7 linked regions of the Neurospora crassa OR74A genome follow. The protein of the gene in region 2 purifies or fractionates together with the protein of the main gene of each other region. This does not show direct contact. Links are inferred from orthologs where the notes say so. Each region holds a gene or a part of one and is shown on either strand. Other genes may lie near its edges. The genes, in order: NCU08811, NCU10066, NCU01992, NCU04293, NCU00493, NCU02538 and NCU04404.

Region 1 (4,046 bases), on a different chromosome or scaffold from region 2:
AAAAAAAAAAAAGGGGGCCGAGAACATTAGGTCAATAAAAAAACAAAAACAATCGCAAAAAAAGAAAGTTTGGTTCATGATCCGACCCAGGCTCGATCTGGGGACCTTCAGTGTGTTAGACTGACGTGATAACCAACTACACCATCGGACCAGCTGTTGTTATTGATAGAATTACGCTGAAGGTAGGCCCTATATCAGTAGCTTCTATTATGGTTGCGCGAGTCAGTTATTAGCAAAAATCTCGCTGAAACCCTGATCAACATCACGATCTCTCCCTGTCAACCTCGACTGCCACCGTAATCGAAAAACCGTACGCTATAGAACACCATCATATCTCTTTCTTGTTGCTTGAATACTTCCCGTGGTCACTTACCAAGATCCCCCTACGCCACGGATGTGAGAACAGCTCATCCAGATCCTGGCCGTCATCCTCTTCGTTAGATATCAGAAACCCGCATCATCTGCCCAGACTACTAGTGCTCTCTACCATAAAACATTCATTCACCATTACACTACAAATACTAATTTTTACTAAAAGGAAGCCTTACCCGCTCGTCCACATCTTTCTGTCTCATAACTAGGTAATTCCCTTCGCCCATCACGTCCAGCTGCCCACCCACACTGCTGCCTCATTCTTCCATTTCCACCGCTCAGCTCCCAAGATAAGCCCTGATAGCACCCTGCAACCTCCCGGCACCCTCACCCACCATCTGCGTAAGGTTCTCCAGATCATCGCTGGCAGTGATGCCAAACTTGCGAATGAAGTCCTTGGCGGCAGACTCGAGGTCGCCGTAGTCTTCGGCGGGCGCGTCGTCCTCGGGACGACCAAAGTAGGCATTGGAAGAGATGGCCTGGGCACCCTCGAAGCCTTGTAGACGGGCCTTGGTCTCGGCCTTGACCGAGGGGTCGTAGTTGCCCTTGTTGAAAAACTCGTCCGAAGAGATGGCCTTTTGGTTGGCGAACTTGTTGCGGGCGTATTGTTCTTCGTCGGCTGTTTCGTATCGATGTTGGTTAGTATTGCGTAAGAAAAAGAAAAAAAAAGAAAGGGAAAGGAGGGAAAAAAAAAACATACCCTCACTAGCCTTAATAGGCCCAACACTTCCAAACCCACCCGCATTCTTCTTCGCCGCCGCCGCTCCTCCCGCGCCCGCCGCAGCACCAGCACCACCGGGCTTGCCCACCATACCGAAACCCAGCTTCCTGACACCCATACCTAGCCTCTCCACCTCAGCAGCCGACTTCTCCTGCGCCGCCGACCGCGAACTGGAGGAGCTGACTGGCGCCGCAGCAGGGGTGATGATATTATTGGTCTTGGTCTCGGCCTTCTTCGCCGCCTTCTCCTCCTCCGCCTCGGGATCGTAACCCAGCTTCTCGATGCGCTCCGCCTCCTCCTTGGCCTTCTTCTCCGCCTCGTCGAAATCGATCAGGTCCGCCGAAATCTTCTTGACGCCCAGCTTAGCCGCGGGCTTCTTGGCGCCTAGGATGCCGCCGCCCACCTTGCGCGGGCCGCCGGTGGTGCTGCTGCCGGGGGTGGTTTTCCTTAGGGCCGCGGAGGTGGTGATGCGGCTGGCGGCGGGGGCGGGAGTGGGAGCATCGGAATCGGTCTTGGAGAGCGGCGAGGAAGTGCGCTGGATGTCCTTGCCGTTGCCGAGGAGCGGGGAGGCGGTGCGGCCGATGACGGGGGGTGTGGAAGTGCGGGAAATGGGTGGCGTGGGCTTCTTGATGGCGGGCTTGTCCCACGAGGAAAAGAAGTCGTCGTCGGGCTCGCCGGCCGGGGTGTTGCTGCTTGTGGCATCGTCACCGTCGGTGATGACAACTTCTTCGGGGTATCTGGGTGGGAGGTAAACAGCGCGTCAGCATTGCATTTCATGTAACGTGGAATAAAACAGGTTTGTGTAAATGAGGGGTAGGGGCATTGCATACTCGCGGGCGTCCCTAGCAGCCCTCTTCTTGAGCTCCTCCTTGTACTTGGTCGCGGCAGCAGATTGGTACTTGGTCTTGGGGTCCTTGCTGTTCAAGGCGGCGGAACCACCGTTTTGCTGAAAGAACTTGGTTGCCGACTCATTGCCGCCCACCTTCATGATCCGTAGCTGGTCCCATTGCCATTCTGTACAAGAACAAGGTTCGCGTTAGCGGGCGAGGTGTCGCGTCGTGGAGTAAAGATCGAGAGGGCACATACGGTCGAGGTTAGTAGACCGCACAAAGGAAATGTGAACGCCGAGGTTGCGGTGGTTGGCCGAGCAATCGAGGCAGAGGTAGATGCCAAAGGGGACCGAGGTCCATGTTGGGTTCTTTTGGCCGCAGTCGAAGCAGATCTGTTGTTCGCGGGAAGGGAGGCAGCAGTTAGCTTTCTGGATGTCTAGGGTCGATCGCTGCTCGCGTGGGCACATACCTTGTTGGCTGGCTTCGCCTTGAGCTTCTCAAAAAGCTTGAGCGACTGCTGCTTTGTCGCGAGACCGCTCATCTTGTCGGTCGGCAGTCCGGTGATGGTTCGGATTAGGTATGTCTGTCCTTTGCCAGGGTTGTGATGTGTCACTAGATCTCGACTGTCGTTGTTGATGACCCCTTTGCTCGGTTAGGTTGTCAGGGTCGGTAGGTCGGTGCTGCCGTCAGGGGGGGGAAGGTGAAAAAGGGGGCAGAAGAGGGAGAGAAGTCAAACAAGGCGGCGCTGTAGGTTTTCGGGCTTGTTACAAGTTGTCAATCTTTCAAGTGTTGTCATTCGCTCGCAGTTAATTCAGGAGACGGGGGGGGAGCCCCAGCGGAGAGAGCCGGGCTGCCTGGCAACCTACCTACGTACCTGTATGGTATTGGAACGTCCACTGGAACGTTGGGCCACATTTCTTTGTGTTCCCCAGCCAAGAATCAGACGCTTCCACTTGCTCATGGAGGTTCGCCCTTCCATGTGGCATCTTGGCGCCTTGGCACACAGTCCCGTCTCTACCTAGTGGAGCGCAACACGAACCCGACTCCACCCCTCGCCGGACGGACCTCCTCTGCCGGGAAAGATGCCGTGCCGGCAAACGGTTCCAAAGCTTCATCCAACCGCAGCTCATCACAGCTTCGTTCGGACCTCTCATTCTCATTGAAGCTCTCATAACAATCGCAAACGGCTGAAACATTGCCGTTGAAATATGGGTGTTGTGTTGAAGCCTCCATGATGAAAATGCTCACAGGTACTTCGGCGGGTGTGAGGCTTCTTCTGAGCCCCGCCGTGGTCCGTCAACAAGCAACCATTACCACAGCAGCTTCGAGAGCTCTTCCTCCGACAGCAGCTAGCGTCATTCTCGTCTCATCGCGCCGGCAATATGCGACTACGCAAGAAAGTTCCAAGAGGAGATCCGTAACGCCCTTCAATGATGATGGCCATGTGCCCTGGACTCGGCTCTCCACCGGTGAAAAAGCCGGGCGCGCCGTCCAGCAAACGTTCAACTTTGGTCTGGTGATTTTGGGTGTGGTTTTGACCGTACGCTTTCTTCTTCCCAATTCATCGCTCACTCCGGTGTGTTGTGTGTAGTACTAACTCTACCACACAGGGAGGAATTGCCTACCTACTCTTCACCGACGTGTTCTCCCCAGAGTCCAAAACCGCCTACTTCAACCGAGCCGTTGACCGGATCCGTGCCGACCCTCGCTGCGTCGCCCTTCTTTCGCCCGGCGACCCAAAGAAGATTGCTGCTCACGGCGAAGAGACACACAACAAGTGGCGCCGGGCGCGGCCGATCGCGGCAACGGTCGAGAAGGATAATAGGGGTGTGGAGCATCTAAAGATGCATTTCCATGTTCGTTTTACTTCTTCTTCTTCTTTTTCTTTCCCCTGTTTTGTTAAAAATTTGTTGTGATGATGGGGCTAACACCAAGAAAAACAGGTCGAAGGACCAAGAGGTTCTGGTGTCGTCGGGCTGCATCTGACCAAGCAACCAGGTCACTGGGAGCATGAGTACCAGACCTTTTACGTGGATGTGAGGGGACATCAGAGAATTTACTTGGAGAATAAGGAGGCAGAAGTGGCGGCTGCTAAGAAGGGTGGCAACAAGGAGTTCAAGTTC
Region 2 (4,088 bases):
GACGAACTGGAGCGCAATCTCAGGGTAGCCCTTCTTCTGAAGGTAAGCAATGATTGACTGGCCAACCAAGCTCGAGTTCTGGATGATGTGTAGCATTTCCTCGTAGTTACGCTTGACAAGCGCAAGCTTGAAGCGGTACTCGGTGGGGTCAATCTGCAAAATCTTGGGCTTCGCAGCACGATCAAGGCAGTACACGTTTCTACCCTTGACACGGGTGAGGTAAACAGTCTGGTCGAGGGTGCAAACGATGCCGTTATCGCCATTAAGAAGCGTGTACTTGACGTGGTTGAGAGTCGAGTAGAGCAGAACACCGGCGTCATCCCACGCAGCACTCTTGAGACGGATAGTCTCATGTAGAGTGCTAACCTGCTCCAGGGTCTTGGTCACAATTGTCACATTGTGCTTGCTGAGCAGAGCGGCGTAAAGACCATCGTTAGACCAGACAACGTATTTGACGCCAGTTACAGCCAGCTCGGCAGTGCTCTTTCTCTGCTGGATATCGTAGAGGTGAACAGCGGTCGGAGTAATGATGAGGAGGTTGCCGGTGCCGCCGAAGTAGATGTCGGTAGTGCCAACAGGGGGCTTGAACGATCTCGTGGTGTTGTTGGTCAAGTCCTTGATATCGACGGTCTGGGTGGCAGTGTTAAGAACAGCGAAACGGTTGCGAGCCACAAAGACAGCGGAGTTGCCCTGGCCCCGCTTGGATTCTGTGGGTTCGATAGCTCCAGAACCATCGCGAGGAAGGGTGATGAGCTCGTACGACCCACCATCCGCCGGGGAAGTGACCAAGATTGACCTCTCCGCGGGGTTGTAGGAGAGCGTCCTTGGGGGCACCCAAGGGCTTCCGAGCTTCTTGAGCGACAAAAGCGTGGGCGATTCGACATTCTTCTGGAAGTCGTACATCTTGACGTGCTTCTCCTTGGTGATGTAGAAGATGTTGTTCTGATAAACGGCGGAAGCGGGCCTCTCGCGCTCGAGCTTGAACACCATAACACCATTGTCGTGACCAGCAGCGAACAAGTTGATTTCCGGATGAGCAGCGATGACCCAGATCCTATCGTTCTCCCGCTTAAAGGTGTTGACTACGGTACGCTTGTTAAGATCCCATACGCGAATCGTCTTGTCCTCGCCGGCCGAAAGGATAAGGTCCTGGTGGGGGTGGAAAAGACAGCCGCTGGCGTTCTGGAAATGGCCGCGGCAGGTATCGACTTCCCACTATGGATGGTTGGTTCAGTCAGCAAGTTGTCATCAGATGCACAAATCCTCACAACACGTACAGCCTTGGTCTCGCTCATGCGCCACAGCTTGATAAGGCGGTCATCACCGGCGGACACGATCAAGGGCATGGTGGGGTGGAAGGCAACCCAGTTCACACCGCGGTCGTGGCCCTCGAGAACGAACTTGACAACGGCGTCGGTATTGCCGAACATGTCGGTCTGGTTGGCATTGGCGCGAGCAACTTGGTCCTCGAAGGACATGGACGTGGGCGCGGAGTGCTTCTTGCGGAGGCCCGAGACTGTGACAAGACAAAATGGTCAGCCATCCATGTATTCCGCAGATATCCATGCCATCTTTCCCAGCTAAGGCACCACGTACTATCCCAAACGCGAACAGTCTGGTCGAGGGAGGCGGAAACGATGAGGTCCTCCTTGGGATGGAACTGGGCGCACATGACGTAGTGGTTGTGGCCCGTCATGGTGCAGAGCAGGGAGCGGTTCTGCCAGTTCCATATCCGAATCGTCTGGTCGTCACTAGCACTGACAATCCAAGGAAGCTCGTGGTGGAAGAAGACGGTGCGGATGTAGTCCAAGTGGCCGTTGAGTGTAAAGAGGCAGCGCCGAGTCTGGAGAGACCAGACCTTGATCTTGTAGTCGTCACCGCCAGATACGAAGAGGGGCTGTAACGGATGTGTAAGCTAGCTGTCGATAACTCGGGTTCGGCGCATCGAGGGAACAGGGAGCTCACCTGTGTCTTGTGGAAATCAACGCCGCGGACGGGGCCATCGTGCTCTTCGAATCGGTCAATCAGGGTACCCATGCGGTAGTCCCATAGCTGAATGGTGGAGGAGTGGAGGGAGACGAGAATCCATGGTCTGGAGGCAAGGCCATGTTAGTTTCGCGTTTGGTTTTCTTGACAGGCGTAGACATCAAGACCCAGGTCAAGTGACGGGGGAGCTTCTGCTCTTTCGTGGGGACGGAGAGGCTGACCGTTTGGGGTGGAAGGCGATGCCCTTTGCTCGCGACGACTTGGACTCGAACTGCGCACAGGGGTAAGGTAAGATGTTAGACACGCTCGAGCTGGGGAGAAGGCACATGGAGAGTGGACGACAAGCAACGTACTTTGGTGAGCATTCCCGAGGAGGCCTGCATCTTGCCAGTGGCTTTAAGGGGAGCACAGCCTAAGCTCCCGGCATCAACGTGGGAAAGGTGGATTAAGTATTTAAGTGGGAGACGGGGGGAATTAGGACGCGATCAGCCGAGACGCCGTGAAGTCGCAAAATACTATGGGAGATGGGGATTGCCGTTCGGAGGGTGGGAGGAGGAGGAGGGGTGGTGGTGGCGGCGGCGGCGTGGTGGTTTGGGGAATGAACGGAGCCAAAGTGGAAAGGAAGTGTCGAGGTAGACTGAGTGTCGGGTACAAGCTGAGTGCTCAGTGTAGGACCAGTCGTTCGAAACAAGGTCCGCGATGGATGCCAGGCACTCACAATCAACTAACGGAGCTGAGGTGCTGGAGTGGACAGGACGGTCTCGGGCGGCGGCTTCAATTCCACTTGTTAGGATCCATACTACCCTTACCTGTGTGGTAGGGAAGCGTGGCATCTCCATCGCACCGACCTCACCTCCCCATTCAGTGCTGGCGGGCGCTGCAGCTGCCACTCGCACAGCACCTGTCTGTCCACTGCAGTTGGGGCCTTGCAGACACGACTGGCGTGGCCTCAGCGGGCAGCGGCACTCATCGATTCCACCTAGTCGTGCACCGCCACGCCATAAACACACAGAGGATCCGCAATTCAGGGGCTACGGCATGCGTAAGCCTCATTTAAGGGGCCGCAAGTCAAGGGTCGCACCAGCCACAACCTCCCATGTGAGACGGATGAACCCTGGCGGCCACCTGTACACAGCTTCCCTCAGACGCTAGACCGAACTGGGCGAGCTCTGTTGCTTCACTAGTGTACAACTGAACAGCCGGGGCGAGGTGTTCACACGGCAGGAACCTCAGCGCCCACTTGTTTGTGAAGCTATCCCCAATTTCACCACTCCATGTGTATCTGGTGACTTTGCCAGATTACCGAGGTTGTTATTTTGTTTGAACGCTTTTGAGTAAACCGGTGACCTCTTACTTGTCCCGTTTTGTATAGCTCTATTTACAACACCAACACCAACACCACCACCACCACCACATTCGAGCTGTGCCGTTTCACGTTGGTGACATCCAACGTGGCACCTTTTCTCATCCCACTCATGATTGAGCTTTGAAAACAGGCAGCCATCTCATCGAGCAATCTTCTAACTCCGCATTACCTCCCTGCGTCACCATAAATAAACCTGCTTCCTGGTCCAGACAACCATGATCCGTCTCTCCCAGCTGCCGTGGGGTCTAGCGGCAGCCATTGTCACGGCGACATGGCTTCCCTCGCACCACGTTGCAGCTTCTCCCTCTGTAGACGTCGCACTCAAGGCCGCGTTTCCTTCGCCTCCGTATCTGGTAGAGCTCCTGTAAGTTCCCTGGCCCTCCTCCTTCACTCGCACCGGACCATTCTCACATCCGAATCCAGCGAAACCGCGGCTTCCGAAAATGCTACTGCCTACTTCCCACTGCTGGACCGCATTGCCAAGGGAGACTTTGCCCAGGCCAAGTCCGACAAAGAGCTCTATGAAAAGTTCCTCCAGGTTCTTCAAGAAGATGGGCATGTGAATGCTGAGGCGCTGTCGACCTTCAAGCTGGCTCTTTCGTTGCGGTCCGCTGCGCCCCGTGTCGAGGCTCATTATCAGTACTATACCACTGCTGTTGAGCCATATGTAGTGGCCGATGAGGACGGATGTGATCTGTGGTTCCTATTCAACGGGAAGCAATACTGCAAAGCCAGC
Region 3 (4,145 bases), on a different chromosome or scaffold from region 2:
CCCGCCAGGTCAAACTCGGCAACCTCGTACTCGTCATCGTAGCCGGTTTCTTCAGGCTCACCGGTGCTGGGATCAATCTCCTTGCTGGTGAACTTGAGGACGTTGGAGAAGGTGCTAACTGGTAGCGAACCCTCACCGCTGACCTTTCTGAATGCCACATATACCTTTCCAGGAACGTCGGTCTCGAGCTTCTCAGCCTGAATAATGAATAATTCTTCAAGCTCTTCTTCCGCGGGAGTAGCTACGACAGAGACGTTCTCTAATACGGTGTCGGGAAGGGTGTTCTTGACCTCGTACTGGAGCACAATATGCTCCTTGAAAATATGCTTGACAACTCCAACGACGTATTCGGTCTCCGCCTCGGTCAACTCTACCACCGGCGACGACTTGAGAACGGCGCCAAATTCTGCCATCTCGGGAATCTGCATCAACTCCTGCGCATATTTTTGCGCAGCTGCCGAGGCAGATGCGGCTGCCTCGGCGCTGGTGGGAGCCGCCTTGGTTGGTCCGACCTTGGGTGGCTTGAGTGAAGGTGTCGTAGCAGTAAGCTTCTTGGTCCTATCCTCGGCATCTGCTTGTTCGCGGGTAACAACAGGGATCTTGGAGATGTCGAAAGGCGCCTCGAATGTCGACCTGTCATCAGAAGTAACATACGTGACGAGCTGATGCTCGAAAAAGGGCAACGAGAACATGCTGTCTGTTGACATGTCAGTATGTGATCGCATCCGGCAAACGTAACATAAAGTAGACGAGAACTTACCATTCTTGACAAACCTGTTCGCAAGCTCATCCTCTTCCTTCATAAGCTTGAGGTTGAGAGCAGCACGATCGCGAACCTCGTCATCAACATCATCCAGACACCTGGTGAGGAGAACCTCTACGCTGCGCTTGACTTCAGGATCTTTCTGGCCGACACCAAATTTGGCAAGGGCAGTGACCGCTGCGGCGCGCACAATGGAGTTCTCGAGAACCACCCGGTTGTAGATGTATCGGATGTACTTGGTAGGCTGGGATGTCTTGGGTCCCTCAAGACCGAGGAGGTGAAGGACACGGACTGCCAACTTGGTGAACTCGCAGTCCTCAATAAACTCGCACAGGTGAGCGAGAGCCTCCTCCTTAGATTCGGGGACGAACTTGATAAGATCGAACATGCTCTCCACCACGGCGCGCTTAAACTCATAGCCACCCTCATCGCGCAAAATACCACTGAGGAACTGGAGCATGCCGGCCTGCTTGCTGGGAAACTTGAGGCATAGAGTACGGATGGCTTCGACAATCGTAATCTTGAACTCATCGGTGATTTCAGACATGAAGCCAGAAATTTGCTTCATCAGACGATCCACGCTGGCCTCGTTTCCGGTCTTGAGTAGGGTAGTAATGGCAAAAGTAGCGATGGAGCGGTTGCTGTTGGAGATGAGGAGCTCAATGTCCGGGTTGCATACAGCAACGGCCGCCGGCTTGAACGAAGCGAAGTTGTGGAGAATGCGAAGAGCGGCGAACTTGGTGACAGCGCGGGGCGAGGTAAGGAAAAGTTGGAGGACATGGACTGCCTGGGTGACCTCAGCGTCGGTGACATCCCGCATATCGCAAATCGCCTTTGCGGCCTCGAAGTTGACCATTTCGCTCTTGTGCCTGAGCCAGCCATCCAGCAGCTGCATCATGGGCTTCCTAAGGTGTGGGTCTTCGTCGGCCAGCTGGGCGGCAAGACGGACGAGCAACATGAGAGCAGCGGGGTTCTTGACGGCACCGGGAGCACCGAACTGCTGGACCATCTTCACCAACGCCATCCTGTCGTGCATGCGCATCTGATAAAGCAAGCCAATGGCATGGTATTGGGTCATAGTCGAGCTGTTGATGGGCAGATCTCTGTTGGAAGATCCGAAACCGAGGGAGAAACCGCCGGTAGACTTGGTGTTAGCTGCCGCTTCCGAGGTCTCATTCTGCCACCGTTTGACGACGTCCTTGGCGACGGGGAGAAGGTGATATGACGATACGAGGGCGGCAGAGGATACTGAGGGGTTTCTGTCGACAATGGCCGTCTTCATGACACGCTCGATGGACTGTACTGTGGTGGCCTGCACAAGGTCGGGGTTAGCTCCACATCGGATAACCATTAAGGGGTCGAGGAAGGGGGAGGCTTACATCGATGATGCGGCAAAGGGCGCGGATGGCATTCGGGCGGTAGATGGCATCGGTACTACCGCCAGTATCCTTCATAATGGTGCTGGTAACCATAATAATATCCTCGGCCGAGTTGGCCAGCTCCTTGATGACAAGGTGGACCATCTGTCGTAGGCTGGCATCTTTGTTCTGGAAGAGCTTCGAAATACCAAAAAACAGCGTCGTGGCTTCGTTTGTCGGGAATCTTTCGCCGGTGTAGAGGAGGAGAGCAATCTTGGTGAGGAGGATACGACATTTGCGCGGCTGAATGGGGGAGTTGTTGAAGAGGCGGGCTGTATGTCGAACCGGTCAGTCTTGAGGAGGTTAGGAGAGTATAAGGGCCACGTCCACCCGACGAACAATGCCTCAGCTGCCAAGGTACTCGGACTCACCCTCCTGGAAGACCTGGGTCCGGTCGACCTTGACCAGACCCGTCTCAGCATCCTCGTCCTTTTTGCCGTAATTCATGGCGGGCAGGGCGACGATGGGTGCTGGAGGTGTGATGTGGATTTGGGAAACCCAAGTTGTTGTTGTTGAGGCAAGTAAGTCGAGGCTAGAACAATAGAGGTACGAAATAACGGAGTAGCGTGTTGCCTGTGCGACGGTGCGGCCAGCAAGCGGGTATCCCCAAACCCGCGACGTTGCCAATTCCACTGCACAGTCGAGGGGGAGTCCACTGAGGTGTCAGGGAGTCCGTGCTCCCGGGCCACGCTGCCAGTCTCGCCAGTTAGAGGCTGAAAGCCTCCCGGCAGGAGCAAGCTTCTCCATGTGCATCGTCAACCTCAAGGAGCGGGTGTTACAGCGCACAGACCACCCTTCCAATATGTACATACCTAGTTACCTCTACATAGATGCTTCCCTCCCGCCTCCTGAGTAGATCATCGAGTTTAATTATTTTCAATATAATCACACGGGATGTTGTTCCTGGAAGACAAACTTGACATTGTTCAACCTGCCAGGTCACCTCACTTGTGCTTCTGAAGGAAAAATAGAACCAAGATTGCTAGTACGTAGTAATCACCATGATAACTATTGATACTTTACTTGGACCTGTTCAGTGCCAAGCTTTACATCCCACACTCGGTCTAGGTGGCCGCCTTCCCTTTCGGCTTGAATGACAGCTTGATACTGACTACTTTACTCAAATTGCATTATCGTGAGCCCTTCTTGCTGTCAATTGGTTCTCCTCAACGGTAGTCCCAGCCTGTACTTAAGGATACAGTTGGTCCGAGCATCCATTGTACCCATCTCTTCCTTTTCGTCTTCCTCCAAAAGGACATATAGCCTTGCTTTGGCTCATAAAAGCATGATTTGTTTTCTAGTATGTTTGCTTGCTCTCTTTTGGGGCGTACTCTTAGGCACAGCTTCTTATATCACTCTCCTGCTACGGCCCTCACCTGCGTAGCATCAGCGATCGGATACACAAATGGACCCTATGATGTGGAAGCAGCTTCTATCGCTTCTGCATCGACAGGCACCTCATCTGAGACCACTGCCGAGGCCTCGGGTTGCGCCTCAGTCTGTACCTCCGCCTGTGTTTCGAGTTGCATGTCCGGTTGTTCCTCGCCCTGCACCTGCGCTTGGTCCTCCGCTTCGGCGGCGCTTGCTTGCTCCTGCATCGGCTCTTGCGCGTGATAATCAGTATTGATGGGAAACCCGTTCCGGACGTCGTCTTCCTTGCGGTCGGGATTTTTGCCGCATGCCTTCACAGCTTCTTTCTCTTTTTTGCCCAGCACAACGAGATCAAAGGACGGAGGCAAAATAGCATCAGCCCTGTACCAGACGTGTCAGTAGCGGCCAGATAAGGTTTAGTAAGCAAGGCGTCAAGTCACTCACTTTAAGAAGTCCTGCTTTAGCAAGCGAGCTTTGTCTCGCAAAGCCTGCTGGTCACGAGGGCGCTCAAAAGGGATTTTCCCCTCCTTTATTTCCTTCTCGATGACGCTCCATTTACACTTGTACGTATCCACTGCCTTGATCAACATCCT
Region 4 (4,083 bases), on a different chromosome or scaffold from region 2:
GGATGATGGTACCCGGTATGCATAGCATTCGCATATGCGAGTGCATGGAGCCATACGCCAAAGAGGATAAATTTTGCATTTCAAGTGCTTTCCAAAGAAGCGAAAGCAAAATTAAAAACATCAAAAGCATGCAGGGAAGAAAAAGAGCGGCACATTTGGGCGTTTTGGGTTTTCGACATATTCCCTGGAGGGGATGATAAGAGTAGAGAGATTTCTTCGTCTTTTTTTATAGAAGCGTCTGTATACCCGGAAGAGCGAATAAAGTTAACAAAGATTAACTCTGTTCCGTTTATGAAATATGTGTGGTGCAAGGACCTTTGATATGCAACACGGCTGGGAAGGTAGGACAGGCAGTTAATCTACTACTTCCTTATCTACCTGTCTACCACCGGTTAAATAGACATGAGGTCGTTTTAAGGCTCAGTCAAACCTTACCAAACCTTAGCAGTACTACTAACAGCGGCAATCACAGCATCGCTTCCAGGTTACACAGACATGGACATAAGACGAAATAACGGAACGTGTAAATATAGACGCTACCAACGCTGTGAAAACCTGAAAATTCTGTAGATCTTTCCAACTCAATCTCGACGTCTCACCCAATTTCTTCTACATCCGTCTATCTTTCTCTCTTTCACACTCTACCTGTCCTCCACAACCACCACATTTTGGTTTTTCTCCCACCTACAACTAATCATCACGCTCATGTCCCTTCCCACCCAACATACCCTCACTCGGCCCTCCGGCCCTCCTCCTCCTCTTCCCCCACACCTCCTGACACCAATCACTAATCCTGTACCCCCAATGACCCGCCACCAGCGCACCACTAATGACATTGACGACCTTGATGATAAAAACCAGGAAAGAATCCCGTTCCTCGTCGATGTGCAGCAGAATCGGCTCAATGTCGTACTTGACAAAGATGCCCGGGATGATGCGCTCCGTGACTTCCTGCGACTGCTCCGTGACGGCGTACTGGTTCGTGACGATGGATTTGCCTGACGACGAGTAGACGGTGGGGACGACAGAAATAAAATACTGGAACTTGTGGAAGTTGGCCGAGGCGATGTTGACGGTTTGGTCGAGCGGGTTGACGAGGGAGGGGAGAAAGGGGCCGAAGGAGAGCTCGGAGATGATGTGGGAGAAGTTGAATGCTGTTTTTTGTTGTTGTTAGTAGCTGTTGTTGTGGAAAATAGAGTTGGATGGTTGAAGTTTCGGCAAAGGTAAGAGAAAGAGAAAAGAAAACAAACCAGAATGATCCAAATGCTGGCCAAACTCCATATATCCATGTCCTTTGGCCGTAATATGAAAGTCGCCCTGGACCTTGTTCAACTCCAGACTGCCAAACACCCTACAGCTGTCCGGCGTCGCCCCCCACAACCGCGGCGTCCTCGCCCACTTGGCCTTCCGCCTGCCCAAAGAAACAATATCATGCACGTGCTCCTCCCCAAACCCTTCGTCATGCCCCTGCCCCTGCATGTACCCCTCGCCCGTAACCACCTTGCCCTGGGCGTCCCGTCCCAGCTTGTGAATCCCCTTGTTGTCGACCCAGTGCTGCCACACCGTCGGGTCGCGATGCAGCCGGGAGGCAGCCAGGATGCGGTCGCCGGCCGCGTCTTGCACGTTGATGTGGATGTCTTGGCACTTCATTTTGACGACAATGTCGAGGTTGATGTCGAGGGCGTGGGAGACGCCCTTTTCGACGGCAAAGGTGTGCGATTCCGAGCCGCGCCACCAGCGGGAGGCTTCGGACCAGAAGAGGATGAAGGAGATGAGGCCGACGAAGACGGTCCATTTGCCGCCGGCGGTGGTGCGGGTTACGTATTGGGGTTTGGATTTGGCTGTGTAGTAGTAGGTAGGACTTTCATGTTAGTTTATTTGAAGATGTATGAAAGCGCATTGGATGTGGGAGGGAGGGGAGGGAGGGACGTACGGAAAGCGTCAAAGGCGCTGACTATGCTCCCCTTGGCGCCAAAGGCGTCTTCGTCTAGTTGACGCTTCTCGTCGTAGCCGTTCATCTTTATGCGTGTATGTGTTTGTGTATCGTAACCGGAGTTGCGAAAAGGTAAATATGTCTGGTTTCGTATGTTGGATGCGATTCAGCACTGCAATCCGTGCCGGTGTTGTTGGTCCCCCTTCTTCCTCTGCCACTTGTCAGGGCGGCGGCGGCAACCCAAGCTGTCGGTTGGTGGTGACAGTGACCACTGTTTTCCGTTTTGAATTTCTTTTCGATTCCAATCTACAGCGGATTTCTGATCCTGAGCTACCGCATTGGTGTTTTTTTCGAAAAGCACTTTGTCGTCGAGACCCGATGGTGTAGTTCCGGAAGGACACAGCCGGCTACTGCTGCAGGTAGCTCTTGTCCTTTGGGGGAAATTGCGAATGCGCCCACTCAGCTAATTCGTCATCCGGTTCGCGAGGATTGGCTCGGTTCGTTGGACTAAACAAATCCACTCAGTCCCTGCTGTGGAAAGAAAGAGGATGAAGATTCAAGCTATGTACTAGTACACCAAACACTGAAGAAAGCAGAAGCAAGTTCTATGGAAAAAGGGTGGTGATCCTGGCGGCTGAAAGACACCGGGCGTTCGTTCCCTTGCATGGATGAGGTGCCATTCGGAGGACATTCATCGATGAGGACAAGTGGACGTTGGTCCCCGCGAAACGATCCGCCGTGGCTTGGCGTTTGGCCGTAGATCCCTGTGTGCCTGACAGGGGCCTGTTACGGGAACTACGCTGGAATTAGCTCGAGCATGCGCATGGCTGGCGGGAACCCGTTTGCCATACTTAACCCTGACCCTGACAGGCCTGCCTTGCTTTACCCCTGAATCGTCGTCAACAACATCACTCCGTTACCGTTACATGACATTTCGTCTGGTGTTAGTAACAACTTCTTCGCCGGCATTTGACGAGAATTCAGGATATTTTCTGAGGGTTCCTACGTGCCTGATTACAGGTCCAATTCTCTAGACCCTTTGTTTTGTCCAGTTGTCTTTCTTTGAATTTCCGAGCATATATCACGGTGCTGGTTACGATCTCTATGTATCTTTACGTGCTCTCAACGACTCCTATCACGGCAGTAATCCGTTTTCAAACCCGTCTCCCTTTTTGAATGTTATGACTCCGTAACTGTCCGTCCTTCTCGTGTACCTCATAGCATTGTTGGCCGTTCAAGGCTTGGTCTCTGATGTATTGGCTTTGTGTCCATGTTGTTCAAGGGAGTCCGGACTTTATGGATACGAGGTGTAGGCGTGGTGTGTTTGTACAACACTCCCATGGAAATCTAATTGGTTTAAATCTCTTGGTTAACATATCCAAGCGCTTCTGTACCTATCCAGTTAGCCCCCCATTTTGATGAAGATGACCTAGCCGTACTTTCAGTGTGCTATCTTGGATACCCGTGATGATTCTGATGAATGTTTACATATCGAAAATATGTTAGGCATGTTTAAGGTTGTTGGAACGGCTGTCTTTGAGGACATGTATCAATCCAACAAAGAAACAAGTCCTGGACTGTATCCGCAACCTGTAAAAGTCGTCACGTTAGAACAAAAAGGATAGTAGTCAGATGGAGAGCTTCGTATTGTGTTACACTTGATGTATCCTATGTAAGATGCCATACATTTTGACCTGTTAATTTTTCAGTTCCCTCTATTCGCTTGGAGAAGCACCATTTCAGGTAATTTCATCCATTATTGTTCGCGATAACAAACAATAATCAAAAACGGACGGGCAGACCGCCGCGCGGTCAACCACTTTCTTAAATCGTTGCTACTGAATGATGGAGAGTTTATCGTTGGCAGATACGGTACTGCTCATTGCCATCGATGCCATAGAACCCAATGGGATAATGCCCAGGAAACTCCTCAGGCCCATTGTCATATCCACAAACATCTTTATTGCACCTGCCCAACATCTCGTTGACTGAATCCTGACATTCTTTTGACGGGAGGTTCTGGCCTTTCTCGTCTCCTGAATGGATTCAAAAAGATAGCTGGAGGCAACTTTCTTTGACATCCCGCTATCAATGCAGCGCGCTCACCAGGTCCCTTCCTCTCCTCGAACAAATATCAACCTTCATCCCTC
Region 5 (4,206 bases), on a different chromosome or scaffold from region 2:
GCCCATTTGGGGACATTTTGTAGGATCCGTTGGTGACTTTCAGTTGGATGATGTTATTTGGACGTGGAAAGCAGCGGCTAAGTGGTTCCAGCCTTCAACTCCGGGACGCAAGATTTTGATTTGAATGACACGCGCAAGTCCATAACTTGGCAAGTCGGTTTGTATGTTTGGGGGATTTCGGTTTTGGTTTGCTAGACCTACAGCTTCACTTGCCTCGGCGTGATGTTGTTGTTGTTGTTGCTGCTGTTCTGCGATTCAGTCGTGTGGTCTCGTCCTGCCTGTTGATTCAAAACACAGTGCAGATAGAGCAGTTGCCACAGTAATAGAAATACTGTGCAGGGGCATCCGTACTGTGTAGGTATGACCTTTACAAGCTTACCTAGCGAACTACACACATCGACATCAATTACCATACTCTGTGCTTACAACAGCGATGATTGAGTTGGATAGCTCTTTGCGTAGATAGGCTTCTTTCTATATGGTACTGGATCATGAGGGTATCCATCCCCTTAAAAATGCGTAGGGCTCGTAGCTTACATGTTACTTTCAAGGATCCCGGGAGCGTCAAAAACCTCTTGTTCAAAAAGTCAAGTATGACCTTGGGTATCAACGGAAGAAAAGGAATGACAGCTCGAGCACCCACTGGCGCGGACCATGTACAACAGTATTCATTATAAAGGGAGTTGGACAACTCGGTTGCTTCCCATACATTACTCTAATTCTGGTGTGGAAGATGATGATCGAGACGCCTGGCCGGCATGCTACGGTCGCCCTTTTTTGGTTCTGCTCAAAACAATGACAACAAACCCTACTCAATGAGGAACTTGTCGGCCACCGATCTGATGTCCTTGGAAAACGAAACCTCTTCACCTTCATCCACCAGCTCAACAGATTGAACCTAGAATGTGTCAGTTGTTCCGTCTTTACCCGTTTTTCTGACATGAGGGGGCGACATCTTACATCAACCTCCACGAACGGCCACGACTTGGAGAACCGTACTTGCATCGGGAAGAACTCGTTCTCGTCATCGGTCTGCGCCTCAAACTCGAATGATCCGCTGGCGTTCTCCTCGCTTACGGTGCCTATCGACCACTCTAGACTGTCACCAGACACCTCATACACAGCGTCGAAGCTAGACACCTGAGGCTCTGCGCTCGTGTAGGGGATGACGACAGTAACGTCCTTGAGGGTATCTCCGCCAGTGAGCTCGTACTCGACCGTCAATGTGCTGTTGCCATCCGAGCCCTTGTTGACCCAAACGGTGAAGCTGATTGGTAGTGCGCTGGTGTCGTCGACTCTGGGACTGGCCCGCCACCTTAGAACTCCGACAGAGTTGTTAAGGGGGAAACCCTTTGTGATTTGAGACAACTGGATAGCCTGGGAGCTATTGAAGACATTCTTATCGACGTTCGGGTGAGTGCGGAACTGGGCGCCGTGGGTGGGTGTGGCGCTGAGGTTGAGCTTGATCCTTGAAAGCGATGGGTCGGAGACGCGAAGCTGGAGGTCACCGCTGACCGAGAGGGATTCGAGGGCACCATCTCTCGACAGCTTGGCACTGATTGCCTCGTTGATAAGGACGTGAATAGCATCCCTGTCGAGTGTCGAAGAGACTCTGGAAGCAGCAGGCTCTGCGGCAGCTGCCGGCGCGGCTACCGGAACAAGGGGCGCTTCCTCGGCCTCGTGTCCAAGATCCCCCTTCACGCGCTCGAAAATATCCGTATTCTTGGACTTCTTGCCCAACTGCATACCTTTGCCCTTTGGCGCATTGAACCTAGAAGAATGTGAGCTTGCAGGCCAGCCTGAAAAGAAGAGGGACTAACACATACTTGACCTTGTTCTTCTCGGCTTCGTACGTATCATAGGACTCGGTGACAGCAGGTCGCACCGGCGGGGTGTATGTGGGATATACCGGCGTCCGGGGTACCGCGGACCGACCAGTTCTGGCCGACTCCTTGCGCTGCATCTCCAACTGCTTGGCTTTCCTCTTGCGCTCTTCGGTGGCCTCCAGCTCCTTGTTGCGGGCAATGATTTCCTGAATGCGCTCCTCGTGGCTTTCCATCTCGAGGAAGGTCTTGATCTGGCTGATGGTGAGGTTCTCCCGGTAACCGAGAGTCACCAGCTCATCGAAGGCGCTGAGCAGTTCGTAGGCATTTCGGAGGATTTCGCGCTCGTCAAGGCTCTTGCAGGTGCTGGTGACAACCTGGGCAAAAAGGTGGAGCGAGTCGATGTCCTGAAGGATGTTGGACTGCTTGTTGGTGATGAGGACCATGTACAGCTCGTCCAGGGGCTGGTAGACGAATCGGACATTGTCTTGCTCGACAATGGTGTGCTGAGTACCCGAGTCGGCGGCCTTGGGGAACGAGGCGAGGAGAGCTTCGATGCGGGAGCGCTTGATGTCGTTGAAGGCGCGGGCTAAGACGGCCTTGCCGCCGCGGGTGCAGATGGAGGCAGCGAGGACAACCTGACATGTTCCGTCAATCGCTTCTTCCCACCAGGAGACAGGGATGGATGAGTTACCATTTTGACAGCAGTAAACAACAACCACGACTACTGACTCGAAGGGCGCTTCGTGGTAGTGCAGGGAGCTTTGGGATGCGTTGGAGGTAAGTCGTGAGCTTCACCTCCTGAAAGTTGTCGTGGACGGGAAGGTTGATGTGGTCTTTCCGTTGCCGTGCTGAGGTGTGCTGTCGGTCAGGTCCAATTGAACTGAAGGTGCCATCTGGAGGGACCCAGCGGGCAGCGATAGGTAGAGGTACCTGGACGGCAGCTTCACTGCAGCGTCAGGGCAGTCGGGTTCAGGCGGGCCAGGGCAACCTACTGCGTACACGGTGGCAGCGTCCTGGCCGGCCGACGAGGGGCTGCCAGCTGGCAAAAGAAATCCAGGGGCACACCATAGATACAAGTACAGTAGGTAGGTACCTCTAGGCACCCACAGGGCCCGCTAAACTCCATGCGGCACTTGCTTAGGTTCAGTTTCCTTCCTATGATCAATTCTGCGAATTTCACCGTTGTCCACACACTGCGGCAAAACCAACAACTGCACCTCTTTCTTCAACACGCACAACAGACGGCCCCGTGTGTCGAAATTTCACGATTTCCATTTCCATCCAAACCATCGCCTACCTCGAAAAACCATCCGCCATCGAGAAACTTGTTTCTCAATCGCGTCAAAGCATTGCCCAGCCAATACGAGTCTCGATTACGGATCATCAAATACCTACGCTACCTTTGTGACACGCCTCGTCATCAAGAGCTTACTCGACTCCGTTGCACTTCACCCACCTCCCAGCTCCGCCGCTCCGTGAAAGTGAGGCATCCCGATTATCTGCCTGCCGCGTTTCAGCATTCCATACCTCGATTCGATGTGCACTTTTGCCCAGAACATCCGCCCCAGAACTCTTAACAGCGGTTAAATCGTGTTGTCGGATTCCGCCAGTCCACGTGTCGCCTCACATCCCTTCACCGTTTCATTTTGCGCCCCAGAAGCGCCGTTGTTTGTCGGGCGTTCTTTGTCGAGTGCGGGGTTGCCCATTCTCAGCCATAACTCCAGAACCCGTGGTCTCTATATGCCCTACGGCTTCGCTTCCAAGAAGAAGTCACAGCCTTTCAGTCCAAGACATCCACCGAAACCCATCGCCAAGCTTGGGGTTTTGACCAGTGCACCAATTTTCTACGTCTTCGCTTCTTTCATGACGCTTGCTGGACGTACAATTTCTTGACAACGGCAATACGTCGCACCTTCTTAGAAACTTCGTGGAAGTTTTGCGTCATTTTCCAAATTTTCGTTCTTGATCCAACTCACTCGTCTGTGGCGCGTGTTTTGATTGACCCGCCAACCGCCAATCATCATGGAGCAAGTTAGCTTCGACGTTCGTGCCGAGGCGGGGAAGGCGGTATTTGACGATGACTTGATGCTAGATGCCGGCATGCCAGCCGACGAGCTTGTCTTAGAACTCGACGACCTACATGACAAGGAAGATGAGTACCAGGCGATCGATCTTGATGCCCAACCCGCCACAGCGGATGTTGAATTTGCTGTCGATGACCTCGAGGCTCAGCATAATACCAACGATGAGCAAGCAGAGGCGGCAGGCGGCGTCGAGCAAGATGCTCAGGATGTCTCCATGGCATACAATGACGAGATAGGTTATGAAGAGGAGGAGGGCGTTGCAGAAGAGGCTGTTACTGAACACGAGCCCGAAGATA
Region 6 (4,142 bases), on a different chromosome or scaffold from region 2:
TGAAGGGAACTATTTGCGCCAATATTCTAACTCTCACTACCCGATTCAAACGCTTGCACCTCCCACAACTCACCCCAATCCTCAATCGACACCACCACACTATAACCACAGACATAACTAGACCAAAATCTACGGCAGTGCCATTGATGGCACCCGCTATGACAACTTCGACGACAATGGAAACCCGGATTCTCAAAGTGAAGGTGGACGACAGCAACATCCAAGTGCTCGGCCACTGGAAGGAGGAGTCAGCAGAACACAAAGATGGAAGCAAAACGAAAACTAGCAATCTCAACACATGGGAGGTCCCAACTACATCAGAAAATGAGAATATACTGTCTCCCATCCGCGAAGCAGCCCACCACCTCCGCACCACCGACATTCCTGTCGCCTTCCCCACGGAAACCGTCTACGGCCTAGGCGCCGATGCCACCCGCAGCGCTGCCGTCAAGGGAATCTATGCCGCCAAAGGTCGACCAAGCGATAATCCTTTGATCGTGCACGTTTGCGATTTGAGCATGTTACGGTCATTCATCTCTCCCTCCTTCTCCTCAGCAGGAGACGAAGAAGACCCCATCCCAGCCATCTATCACCCCCTCATAACCCGCTTCTGGCCCGGCCCCCTCACCATCCTGCTACCCAACCCCTCCCCCTCCCTCCTCGCTCCGGAAGTAACCGCCGGCCTACCCACATTCGGGTGCCGAATGCCCGCCTCGGCGCTGGCTCGCTCGCTGATCAAACTCGCCAACGCCCCCCTCGCCGCGCCCTCTGCGAACGCCAGCACTAAACCCAGCCCCACCGCCGCACAACACGTGTTAGACGATCTACGGGGTCGCATCGCACTGATCTTGGATGGAGGATCATGCAGCGTAGGGGTGGAAAGCACGGTCGTCGACGGGCTTTGCTCGCCGCCTGTGGTGCTGAGGCCGGGCGGGGTCAGCTTGGAGGAGATTAGGGAGTGTAAGGGGTGGGAAGGCGTGGAGAAGGCGTATAAGGATCAGGCAGAGGTCGGAGGAAAGACGGCGCCGAGAGCGCCGGGGATGAAGTATAAGCATTATAGCCCGAAGGCGAGGGTGGTGTTGTATGAGGCGGAGGGAGGGAGGAGGGAGGTACCGAAGGCGGATGTGAGGGAGGCGGTTGAAGCGGCTGGGGAGGAGGAGGGCAAGGGAAACGTGAAGAGTGTTGCGGTTATTAGGACGGGGAGATGGCCTGTTGCCGGGGGGTTGAGGAGTCAGGGGCTTGATGATGTTGCTGCGAAGGACAGCGGGGACGTGGCCGAGACTGGGTTCGCTGTCAGGGAAGGGCAATGGCTGGATGAGGACGGCACCACGGTGTTGGCAAGGCTTCTGGAGATTGATCTGGGCAACGATGTCAAGGGGGTGGCACATGGCCTTTTCGCTGCCCTCCGAGAGCTGGACAGGCGCGGCGCGGATGTAATATTCGTAGAGGGTGTGAGTGATGGAGACGATATCGCGGCGGCGGTCATGAACAGGCTGAGGAAAGCCGCTTCCGACATTAGAATATAGACGGGGTCAAACCCTATAGATCGCAAGGGAAAAGACTATAACTCCTGTTTTCTGCTAACCCATCACTTGTTGGCTTTTCGTGTCTTTTTGCTTCGCCTTTGGCTCATTACTCTGCCATAAAAAGGCTCGCCAAACAAAAGGGCCTGATACCTTTTTACGAACCAATGCGCCAACTTTACCTTGGTTGCTCCCATCCGCCACACTCCTTCCCTTGTCATTACCCACCCGCACATGCCCTTAGAGACCCTGACGAAGCCAGTCAGTAAGCTTAGCCTTGCCTAGTTGTGCCAAGTTGTTGACACCCTGCTCGGTGAAGGGGTCGAGGCGGCTGAGGTTGACATCGGCAGGCGGCGCCTTGCTGCATCGTTGAATGATGATGGTGGGATCGGTCTCGAGAACAACGCCGTCATCCACGATTTCGTCGATAGCGAGGGATACCAGATCGTAGTTTTCGACTATCGTGCGCTTGTCGATCGATTGCCTGAGTAGAAAGTCCGTGGTTAGCCAAATCATGTCCCATGACCGGCACCTTCACGTTCGCCATAAATACTCACTTGAAGAGCATATGCAAGCTGTCCCTAAGCGCCAAAAGTACGTTGTAGAGCAGAACTTCGTTCTCGTCCGCGCTACCAACGACGTAGATAGCAACGTCCGACTCCATCTTGTAAAGCACCACCTTGTTGTCGTAGAGGAGGATATCGCCCGTCTGCTTAGCTGTCTTCTGAAGGAGGCCCTTCTCGAAACGGGTTTGAGAAGTCTTGTCGGGATAGGGGTTCTGGGAAGCGCTCGAGGAAGCTGTTGTGCACAAGGTTCGGGCTGGTCAGCCTTACGGGAACATGCGACACCGAATAAGGGGTAAAAGGAGCGTCTATTGCGTACCGAGTCCGGCGGCCACTCCTGTTCCTGGTGCGCCAGCGGCAGCGTGAGGAGGAGTGTAGTATTTTGAGAATATCCGCGAACCGTCATCGCTGGAGAGGATTACTGTTGGAACGCAATTGTCAACATTGCTCGACGTGGCGCGTATAAGCCAGGACCCAGGAGCAGCGTGGTGCCTAGTGTACCTATAGCGTTGACGCTATACAGCGACATTCCTGGCGACATCTTGACTGGTTATCTGGGGGTTCTTGTTTCTTGATCAATTGCTGTCTCGAGACTGGTATCGGTTGGAGAAGGTCGGCGACGAGGGGCAACTCGACTTCAATGGGCGCAAGTGGGTAGGTATATAGTGGTTAGCTTGAACTCCAGAGGTGCTGCGTAGGTAGGTAGTGCTCACAATGACCAGGGGCAGGCGGTATCGTTGGTTACCGTGGTGAGCGTGGGTATTGTGGGGTGAAGCGGTCCCTGTGATGTGGCTTGAATCCAGAGCGAACACTCCAAGCGAGGCCCCACGGCGCGGTACGTACCTTACGTACCTGACAGTTCGCACTCAAGAGCAGCACTGCAGTGGCCTCGTCCGTCTCATTTGGGTATGACAGGGGTTTTAATGGGTCAACGCGAGTAAGCCCCCGCAGACACGAACGGCCGTGTAAAGTGCTTTTATCAGAGACGCGTGTGTCGCGACTGTCTTTTTTTTCGATAGGAACGTGATCCACCTTGCCCGTCCTGAACACGCTGCCGACCTGCCAACCACCTCGCAATTACAGAGGGATCGGGAGCCGCCACAACAACACTCCAGCGTCTCCATCCCAACCTGCCCGTCTTCTGTCCCTTCTTGTTGGTTTAGTTTCCATACTTTGTATTATCTCAACAAAACCACCGAGGACAGAGTAGTAAACATGTCTTCCCCAGCAAAGCGCAGAACAACGAGAAGCTCCCAATCAGCTACTCCCCGCACTACTCGCAGCTCGCAGGCTGGTCCTTCGAGCGCAACTCCTCGCCAGACACGCGCATCACAGCTTGCCTCTAGTCCCTTATTCTACGAGCCCTCCTCGCCTGCCAATGGCGCCGCCCCGGTATCTTCTCCCTTGAGGCAGATGAGCAATACCCAGAGCACTGCCCACCAAGGCAATGCGCCGAGCTCGCCTTTGCGCCAGCAGACAGAGACCCAGAGCGATGCTGACCGAACTCCTCGCGCAAACGGACGGAGCCAGTTAATTGGGGGTATGGCTGTCAACCAAAAAAAAAAAAAAAAGGACTACACTGAATGCTGACCACACTCCGCAGACTCCTCTCCCATCCGCTATGCCTCCAGTTCTAGCCCGGGCCGTCAGCTTACTCAACAGTCCGATCTTCGTAGCGAAAGCAGTCAGCTCTTCGTCAGCTCGCAAAGGTCCGTTGCCGGTCGATCCCGTCGAGGCGACATCAACGGGGACCCTCTTCGTACTCCCGCCCAGATTCCCCGCCGAATCATCCTCGACGACGCCGGTCGTGTGATCCGCGATGCCCCTGGCTCCGATGCCAACTCGTTTGTCACCAATAACCCCAATACCTCTGAGGCAGATGCCCTTGGTGGACAAAGCCAAGGTCTTGTTTGGGGTACAACAATTTCTCTTGACGATTCGTTCTCCGCGTTCAAGGACTTTCTCAGGAACTTCACCAGGAAATACCGGATGTGGGCAGATGGCGCGGACGAGGCCGAGACTATTGGCCATCCGGATGCGGATTCGAAGCCATATT
Region 7 (4,295 bases), on a different chromosome or scaffold from region 2:
GTAATGAGATGTCGGTGTTCCATCACTCGGTCTCCGCCTGGCAACTGCATCGGATATCTTGCCTCACACTGCTTGGTTGGTCATCATCAATAGCTGACACAAACAGCCATGACGACTCTTAGGTTCGGGGGCCAGTGGGGCGATTGGTCGATAATGTATACGATTGTGCCAGTCCCGAAGTTATCCATGTTAAATCCAGTTTCAAGAAACCCATCTGCGCCGCCAATAGATAGAAAAGAACGCCTTTATAAAACGCCGCATTATCCCACAAAATCTCTCCTTTCCATGAGTAAGGATATATCAAACTCGGGGTATTCGTTCGTGTCGGAAGATTAAATGGGCTTGATCTTGAAGTGCAAGGCAATGAGACTGAACACCAGCGCCTTGAGGTCCTGAACGAGGTAGTAGAAGACGCGCAAGCCTTCTGGGTCGGCCGAGTCCGTAACATCGTTGATCGATCCGATCTTGGCAGTCTATTTCCTGTATTAGCTCTGAACATTTTGCAGAAATAGATTCCGACACTGGCAAGACGCACCTCGAATGAAATGTGGTCGTTCCCGAGGCGGATCTCCAACTCCTGCTTTCCGTCTTTGTTTTTGGTCGGCCATTTCTCGTCGTCTTCCCTGTTGGCCTGTCAGCAGCCGCTCCATGTTGTTTGTATAAAAGGGTGAACATGATGTCGTACTTCATAATCTCGCTGTCCTTGATGATGCGCTTGATCTCGTCAATGACCAGAGAGCTGACGCACACTAAAAGAGACCCTCGTCAGTATATGGATGTCCACGGCCGGCTAAACAGTGTTTCCTACTCTCTTTCCTGATCAGACTGTCGTTACGGTAGTTGGAGTTGTTGGCATATCGGGCAGTGGCGCTACGTCCGTCGCCGAGGACGCGAAAGTCGAACTCTGTAGTCAAAGGGCGGTAGTTTAGCATCGTGGTCGTGGAAACGTGGGAGCTTGCGTCTCGAGGCGCAAATGGCTGAACACACCTAGGAACTCGTGGCCGAAGCGGCCCGAGTGGCCAGAGCTAAGCCGGCTGTTAGCATGGTGTTTTCAATGTGTGAGTGAATCGAATCCCGTAGGGGTGTACATACTAGTAGCGCAGATAGAAGGGTTCGTTGGCGGCTGACATGGCTGTTTGTTGCTTCTGTCAGTAGTAGGCTTTGCAAGACAAGAGGCAGAGATGCAGCCAGCGGCTTGGTTCCTGTCGCTTTTGGATGGACAACCTTGAAAGTCGCGCCCGCGCGGCCACGCTCCAGTGACATTGGCGGGGCACACGGCCCCACACTTGACCCCAGCTTGGCCCAGGGGCATTGTTTGGGCTCCAAGCTGACTCCGGGTTCACGAGCCTTCCTGACAGCTGGCAATCCGTATCTACACGTGATCCTTCGACTGTTTGGACAAGCTGGCAGATGGCAGACTCGGCCAGGAGATGGAGGCTTGGTGAGGCCGTAAGGGTGTCGGGGGGTCCGTGCTTCGCCGTGTGCTGTTGCGGCCGGCCAGAATGCCACATCTCCCAGGGGCCGTCTCTCGATAGAATTGACCGTCCTATCCACGCTGGCTCTTCCAGACTTCAACAACAAGCACAGGTGATGCTCCGCTCTCTCACCTCGCCGGCGCACTCCAGACAACCCTTTCATTGCGCAGCCGTCTCTTGATTTTCGGCCAACCACGACCCTGTCAGTCCAGGGGGAGGAAACCACATCCAGCACCAAGGCCAGCTCATCGTCACTCTTCAGGAGCTCGAGGCAGCCACTCAGTCCATCCATTTACTAGCACCACGCAACCTACAACGGGGCAAACAACACCTTACCACACCCGCCCCTCTCTAATTTCGATCCGCGACTCCTCTTCAGGACGCCCGGCCAGCTACTTTCTACCAAATTCAATCTCAACTTTAATCAAAGACGGCCCGGCCGCCGCCAGCTCTCCAACATGTCGTTCCTCGAAAATGCCTACAGCTTGGTCAAGGACAATGCCGTCGACGGCACCCCAACCGTGCAGGAGCTCAAGACGCAGCTCGAAAAGGGCACCGACGAGACCAAGATCGAGACCATGAAGCGCATTCTTACCATCATGCTCAATGGCGATCCCATGCCCCAATTGCTCATGCACATTATCCGATTCGTAATGCCTTCTAAATCCAAGCCCCTGAAGAAGCTTCTATACTTCTACTATGAGATCTGCCCCAAGCTTGATGCCCAAGGGAAGCTCAAGCAGGAGTTCATCCTAGTATGGTAAGGCATTCCGTGTCCGTCTGGGCATGCTGGCCCCTCCAAGCTGACCAGCCATTGCCTCGCAGTAACGGCATCCGAAACGACTTGCAACACCCGAACGAGTACATCCGAGGCAACACGCTGCGCTTCCTGTGCAAGCTGCGGGAGGCCGAACTTCTCGAGCCTTTGCTCTCCTCAGCCCGGGGCTGTCTCGAACATCGCCATGCCTATGTCCGAAAGAACGCCGTCTTTGCTGTCGCTTCCATTTACCAGCACTCCCCGTCGCTTATTCCCGATGCTGCGGACTTGATCTCCACGTTCCTCGAAGGCGAAAGCGACCCAACCTGCAAGCGGAATGGCTTCGCCGCCCTTGCCAGCATCGACCACGACAAGGCTCTTCTCTATCTCAGCACCGTCTTTGACGGTATTCCCAACGCAGATGAGCTTTTGCAGTTGGCCGAGTTGGAGTTCATCAGGAAAGATGCTGTTGTCAACACCCAGAACAAGGCGCGCTACCTCCGTCTTATTTTTGACCTTTTGGAAGCTAGTGCCTCGACCGTTATCTACGAAGCGGCCTCGTCGTTGACGGCCCTCACCAACAACCCTGTCGCTGTCAAGGCTGCTGCCAGCAAGTTCATTGAGCTTGCGATCAAGGAGGCGGATAACAATGTCAAGCTTATCGTTCTGGACCGTGTCGATCAACTCCGCCAAAAGAACCCCGGCGTCCTGGACGACCTGACCATGGAGGTGTTGCGCGTTCTCTCTAGCACGGATATCGATGTGCGGAGGAAGGGTCTCGAGATCGCTTTGGAGATGGTCTCCAGCAAGAACGTGGAGGAAGTCGTGCTTTTGCTCAAGAAGGAGCTGTCCAAGACGGTTGACCAGGAGTACGAGAAGAACAACGAGTACCGCCAGCTTCTTATCCACTCCATCCATCAATGCGCTATCAAGTTCTCCGAAGTCGCCGCTAGCGTCGTCGGCTTGCTCATGGACTTTATTGCCGATTTCAACAACAACTCCGCCGTTGATGTTATTAACTTTGTCAAGGAGGTCGTCGAGAAGTTCCCTCAGCTCAGGCCAGCAATCATTGCGAGACTGGTAGATACCCTGAGTGAAGTCCGCGCTGGTAAGATCTACCGCGGTATTCTCTGGATTATCGGCGAGTACTCGCTTGAGGAGAAGGATATCAGGGACGCATGGAAGAGAATTCGGGCAAGCCTGGGTGAGATCCCGATCTTGGCATCCGAGCAACGGTTGCTGGATAATGTTGATGGTGATGCCGAGGAGAAGGAGAAGGAGCAGGTCAATGGCTCAAGGGCAGCGCCGACTGGCTCACGCAAGGTCCTTGCTGACGGCACATACGCTACCGAGACTGCCCTTACCAGCCAGTCTACAGCTGCTGCACGCCTGGAGGCTGTCAAGGCTTCGTCGAAGCCCCCTCTCAGGCAACTTATCCTTGACGGCGATTACTACCTTGCCACTGTTCTCGCATCGACCCTTACCAAGCTTGTCATGCGTCATGCCGAGATCTCCTCGGAAGAGGCTCGCACGAACGCCCTCCGCGCTGAGGCTATGCTCATCATGATCTCCGTCATTCGTGTTGGTCAGTCGCAGTTCGTCAAGGCCCCTATTGATGAAGATTCGGTGGATCGTATCATGAGCTGTGTGCGCTCCCTTGCCGAGTTCACCGCGCACAAGGAGTTGGAGACCGTTTATCTCGAGGATACCAGGAAGGCGTTCAGGGCGATGGTCCAGGTTGAGGAGAAGAAGCGCGCAGCAAAAGAGGCCCACCAAAAGGCAAAGACGGCCACCCAGGTGGACGATGTTTATCAAATCCGCCAGCTTTCCAAGAAGAATGCCACTGATGGGGCTGATGCTTTCGATGCCGATCTCGAGCGTGCCACTGGTGGAGACAACAGCTCGGCTGAGGACCTATCTGGCAAGCTTAGCCGCGTTGTCCAGCTCACCGGTTTCTCCGACCCTGTTTATGCTGAGGCCTATGTCAAGGTCCACCAGTTCGACATTGTACTAGACGTACTACTCGTCAACCAAACAACTGAGACCCTCCAGAACCTTACCGT

Evidence for each region.
Region 1: the proteins of NCU10066 (region 2) and NCU08811 purify together in Saccharomyces cerevisiae (affinity purification with mass spectrometry; 4 studies listed by BioGRID). This does not show direct contact. The link is inferred for Neurospora crassa OR74A from reciprocal best matches to the Saccharomyces cerevisiae genes COP1 and GLO3.
Region 3: the proteins of NCU10066 (region 2) and NCU01992 purify together in Saccharomyces cerevisiae (affinity purification with mass spectrometry; 8 studies listed by BioGRID). This does not show direct contact. The link is inferred for Neurospora crassa OR74A from reciprocal best matches to the Saccharomyces cerevisiae genes COP1 and SEC21.
Region 4: the proteins of NCU10066 (region 2) and NCU04293 purify together in Saccharomyces cerevisiae (affinity purification with mass spectrometry; 3 studies listed by BioGRID). This does not show direct contact. The link is inferred for Neurospora crassa OR74A from reciprocal best matches to the Saccharomyces cerevisiae genes COP1 and ERV41.
Region 5: the proteins of NCU10066 (region 2) and NCU00493 purify together in Saccharomyces cerevisiae (affinity purification with mass spectrometry; 8 studies listed by BioGRID). This does not show direct contact. The link is inferred for Neurospora crassa OR74A from reciprocal best matches to the Saccharomyces cerevisiae genes COP1 and RET2.
Region 6: the proteins of NCU10066 (region 2) and NCU02538 purify together in Saccharomyces cerevisiae (affinity purification with mass spectrometry, with the first as the bait; 5 studies listed by BioGRID). This does not show direct contact. The link is inferred for Neurospora crassa OR74A from reciprocal best matches to the Saccharomyces cerevisiae genes COP1 and RET3.
Region 7: the proteins of NCU10066 (region 2) and NCU04404 purify together in Saccharomyces cerevisiae (affinity purification with mass spectrometry; 8 studies listed by BioGRID). This does not show direct contact. The link is inferred for Neurospora crassa OR74A from reciprocal best matches to the Saccharomyces cerevisiae genes COP1 and SEC26.

What each region holds. Positions count from the first base shown.
Region 1 is NC_026504.1:5,157,952-5,161,997, forward strand, and holds NCU08811 (arf GTPase-activating protein), read right to left. Parts: upstream 2,801-4,046; 5' UTR 2,465-2,800; coding exon 2,393-2,464; intron 2,316-2,392; coding exon 2,180-2,315; intron 2,108-2,179; coding exon 1,924-2,107; intron 1,831-1,923; coding exon 1,073-1,830; intron 992-1,072; coding exon 651-991; 3' UTR 326-650; downstream 1-325. Other genes in the region: NCU08810 (mitochondrial import inner membrane translocase subunit tim-21), read left to right, coding at 3,155-3,463, 3,534-3,779, 3,867-4,046. UniProt on the Saccharomyces cerevisiae protein: GTPase-activating protein for the ADP ribosylation factor (ARF) family. Involved in retrograde vesicular transport from the Golgi to the endoplasmic reticulum.
Region 2 is NC_026507.1:2,814,662-2,818,749, forward strand, and holds the start of NCU10066 (coatomer alpha subunit), read right to left. Parts: upstream 2,801-4,088; 5' UTR 2,370-2,800; coding exon 2,340-2,369; intron 2,258-2,339; coding exon 2,208-2,257; intron 2,093-2,207; coding exon 1,966-2,092; intron 1,898-1,965; coding exon 1,597-1,897; intron 1,517-1,596; coding exon 1,278-1,516; intron 1,216-1,277; coding exon 1-1,215. Other genes in the region: NCU02349 (UDP-glucose:glycoprotein glucosyltransferase), read left to right, coding at 3,568-3,716, 3,776-4,088. UniProt on the Saccharomyces cerevisiae protein: The coatomer is a cytosolic protein complex that binds to dilysine motifs and reversibly associates with Golgi non-clathrin-coated vesicles, which further mediate biosynthetic protein transport from the ER, via the Golgi up to the trans Golgi network.
Region 3 is NC_026501.1:1,752,650-1,756,794, forward strand, and holds the start of NCU01992 (coatomer subunit gamma), read right to left. Parts: upstream 2,801-4,145; 5' UTR 2,629-2,800; coding exon 2,553-2,628; intron 2,454-2,552; coding exon 2,143-2,453; intron 2,076-2,142; coding exon 761-2,075; intron 698-760; coding exon 1-697. Other genes in the region: NCU01991 (hypothetical protein), read right to left, coding at 3,594-3,933, 3,997-4,145. UniProt on the Saccharomyces cerevisiae protein: The coatomer is a cytosolic protein complex that binds to dilysine motifs and reversibly associates with Golgi non-clathrin-coated vesicles, which further mediate biosynthetic protein transport from the ER, via the Golgi up to the trans Golgi network.
Region 4 is NC_026505.1:5,525,040-5,529,122, forward strand, and holds NCU04293 (COPII-coated vesicle protein), read right to left. Parts: upstream 2,631-4,083; 5' UTR 2,019-2,630; coding exon 1,934-2,018; intron 1,842-1,933; coding exon 1,251-1,841; intron 1,155-1,250; coding exon 691-1,154; 3' UTR 501-690; downstream 1-500. UniProt on the Saccharomyces cerevisiae protein: Constituent of COPII-coated endoplasmic reticulum-derived transport vesicles. Required for efficient transport of a subset of secretory proteins to the Golgi. The C-terminal Ile-Leu motif is required for exit from the endoplasmic reticulum.
Region 5 is NC_026503.1:4,047,318-4,051,523, reverse strand, and holds NCU00493 (coatomer subunit delta), read right to left. Parts: upstream 2,801-4,206; 5' UTR 2,521-2,800; coding exon 2,518-2,520; intron 2,462-2,517; coding exon 1,827-2,461; intron 1,772-1,826; coding exon 961-1,771; intron 899-960; coding exon 809-898; 3' UTR 449-808; downstream 1-448. Other genes in the region: NCU00494 (hypothetical protein), read right to left, coding at 1-16; NCU00492 (hypothetical protein), read left to right, coding at 3,849-4,206. UniProt on the Saccharomyces cerevisiae protein: The coatomer is a cytosolic protein complex that binds to dilysine motifs and reversibly associates with Golgi non-clathrin-coated vesicles, which further mediate biosynthetic protein transport from the ER, via the Golgi up to the trans Golgi network.
Region 6 is NC_026501.1:2,662,421-2,666,562, forward strand, and holds the start of NCU02538 (coatomer zeta subunit), read right to left. Parts: upstream 2,801-4,142; 5' UTR 2,628-2,800; coding exon 2,588-2,627; intron 2,508-2,587; coding exon 2,406-2,507; intron 2,322-2,405; coding exon 2,081-2,321; intron 2,008-2,080; coding exon 1,764-2,007; 3' UTR 1,527-1,763; coding exon of another isoform or gene 1-1,526. Other genes in the region: NCU11234 (translation initiation protein Sua5), read left to right, coding at 1-1,526; NCU02539 (cell division control protein 54), read left to right, coding at 3,302-3,626, 3,690-4,142. UniProt on the Saccharomyces cerevisiae protein: The coatomer is a cytosolic protein complex that binds to dilysine motifs and reversibly associates with Golgi non-clathrin-coated vesicles, which further mediate biosynthetic protein transport from the ER, via the Golgi up to the trans Golgi network.
Region 7 is NC_026504.1:3,471,260-3,475,554, forward strand, and holds the start of NCU04404 (coatomer beta subunit), read left to right. Parts: upstream 1-1,495; 5' UTR 1,496-1,933; coding exon 1,934-2,235; intron 2,236-2,300; coding exon 2,301-4,295. Other genes in the region: NCU04405 (mago nashi protein), read right to left, coding at 333-473, 536-623, 686-749, 809-904, 988-1,025, 1,093-1,130. UniProt on the Saccharomyces cerevisiae protein: The coatomer is a cytosolic protein complex that binds to dilysine motifs and reversibly associates with Golgi non-clathrin-coated vesicles, which further mediate biosynthetic protein transport from the ER, via the Golgi up to the trans Golgi network.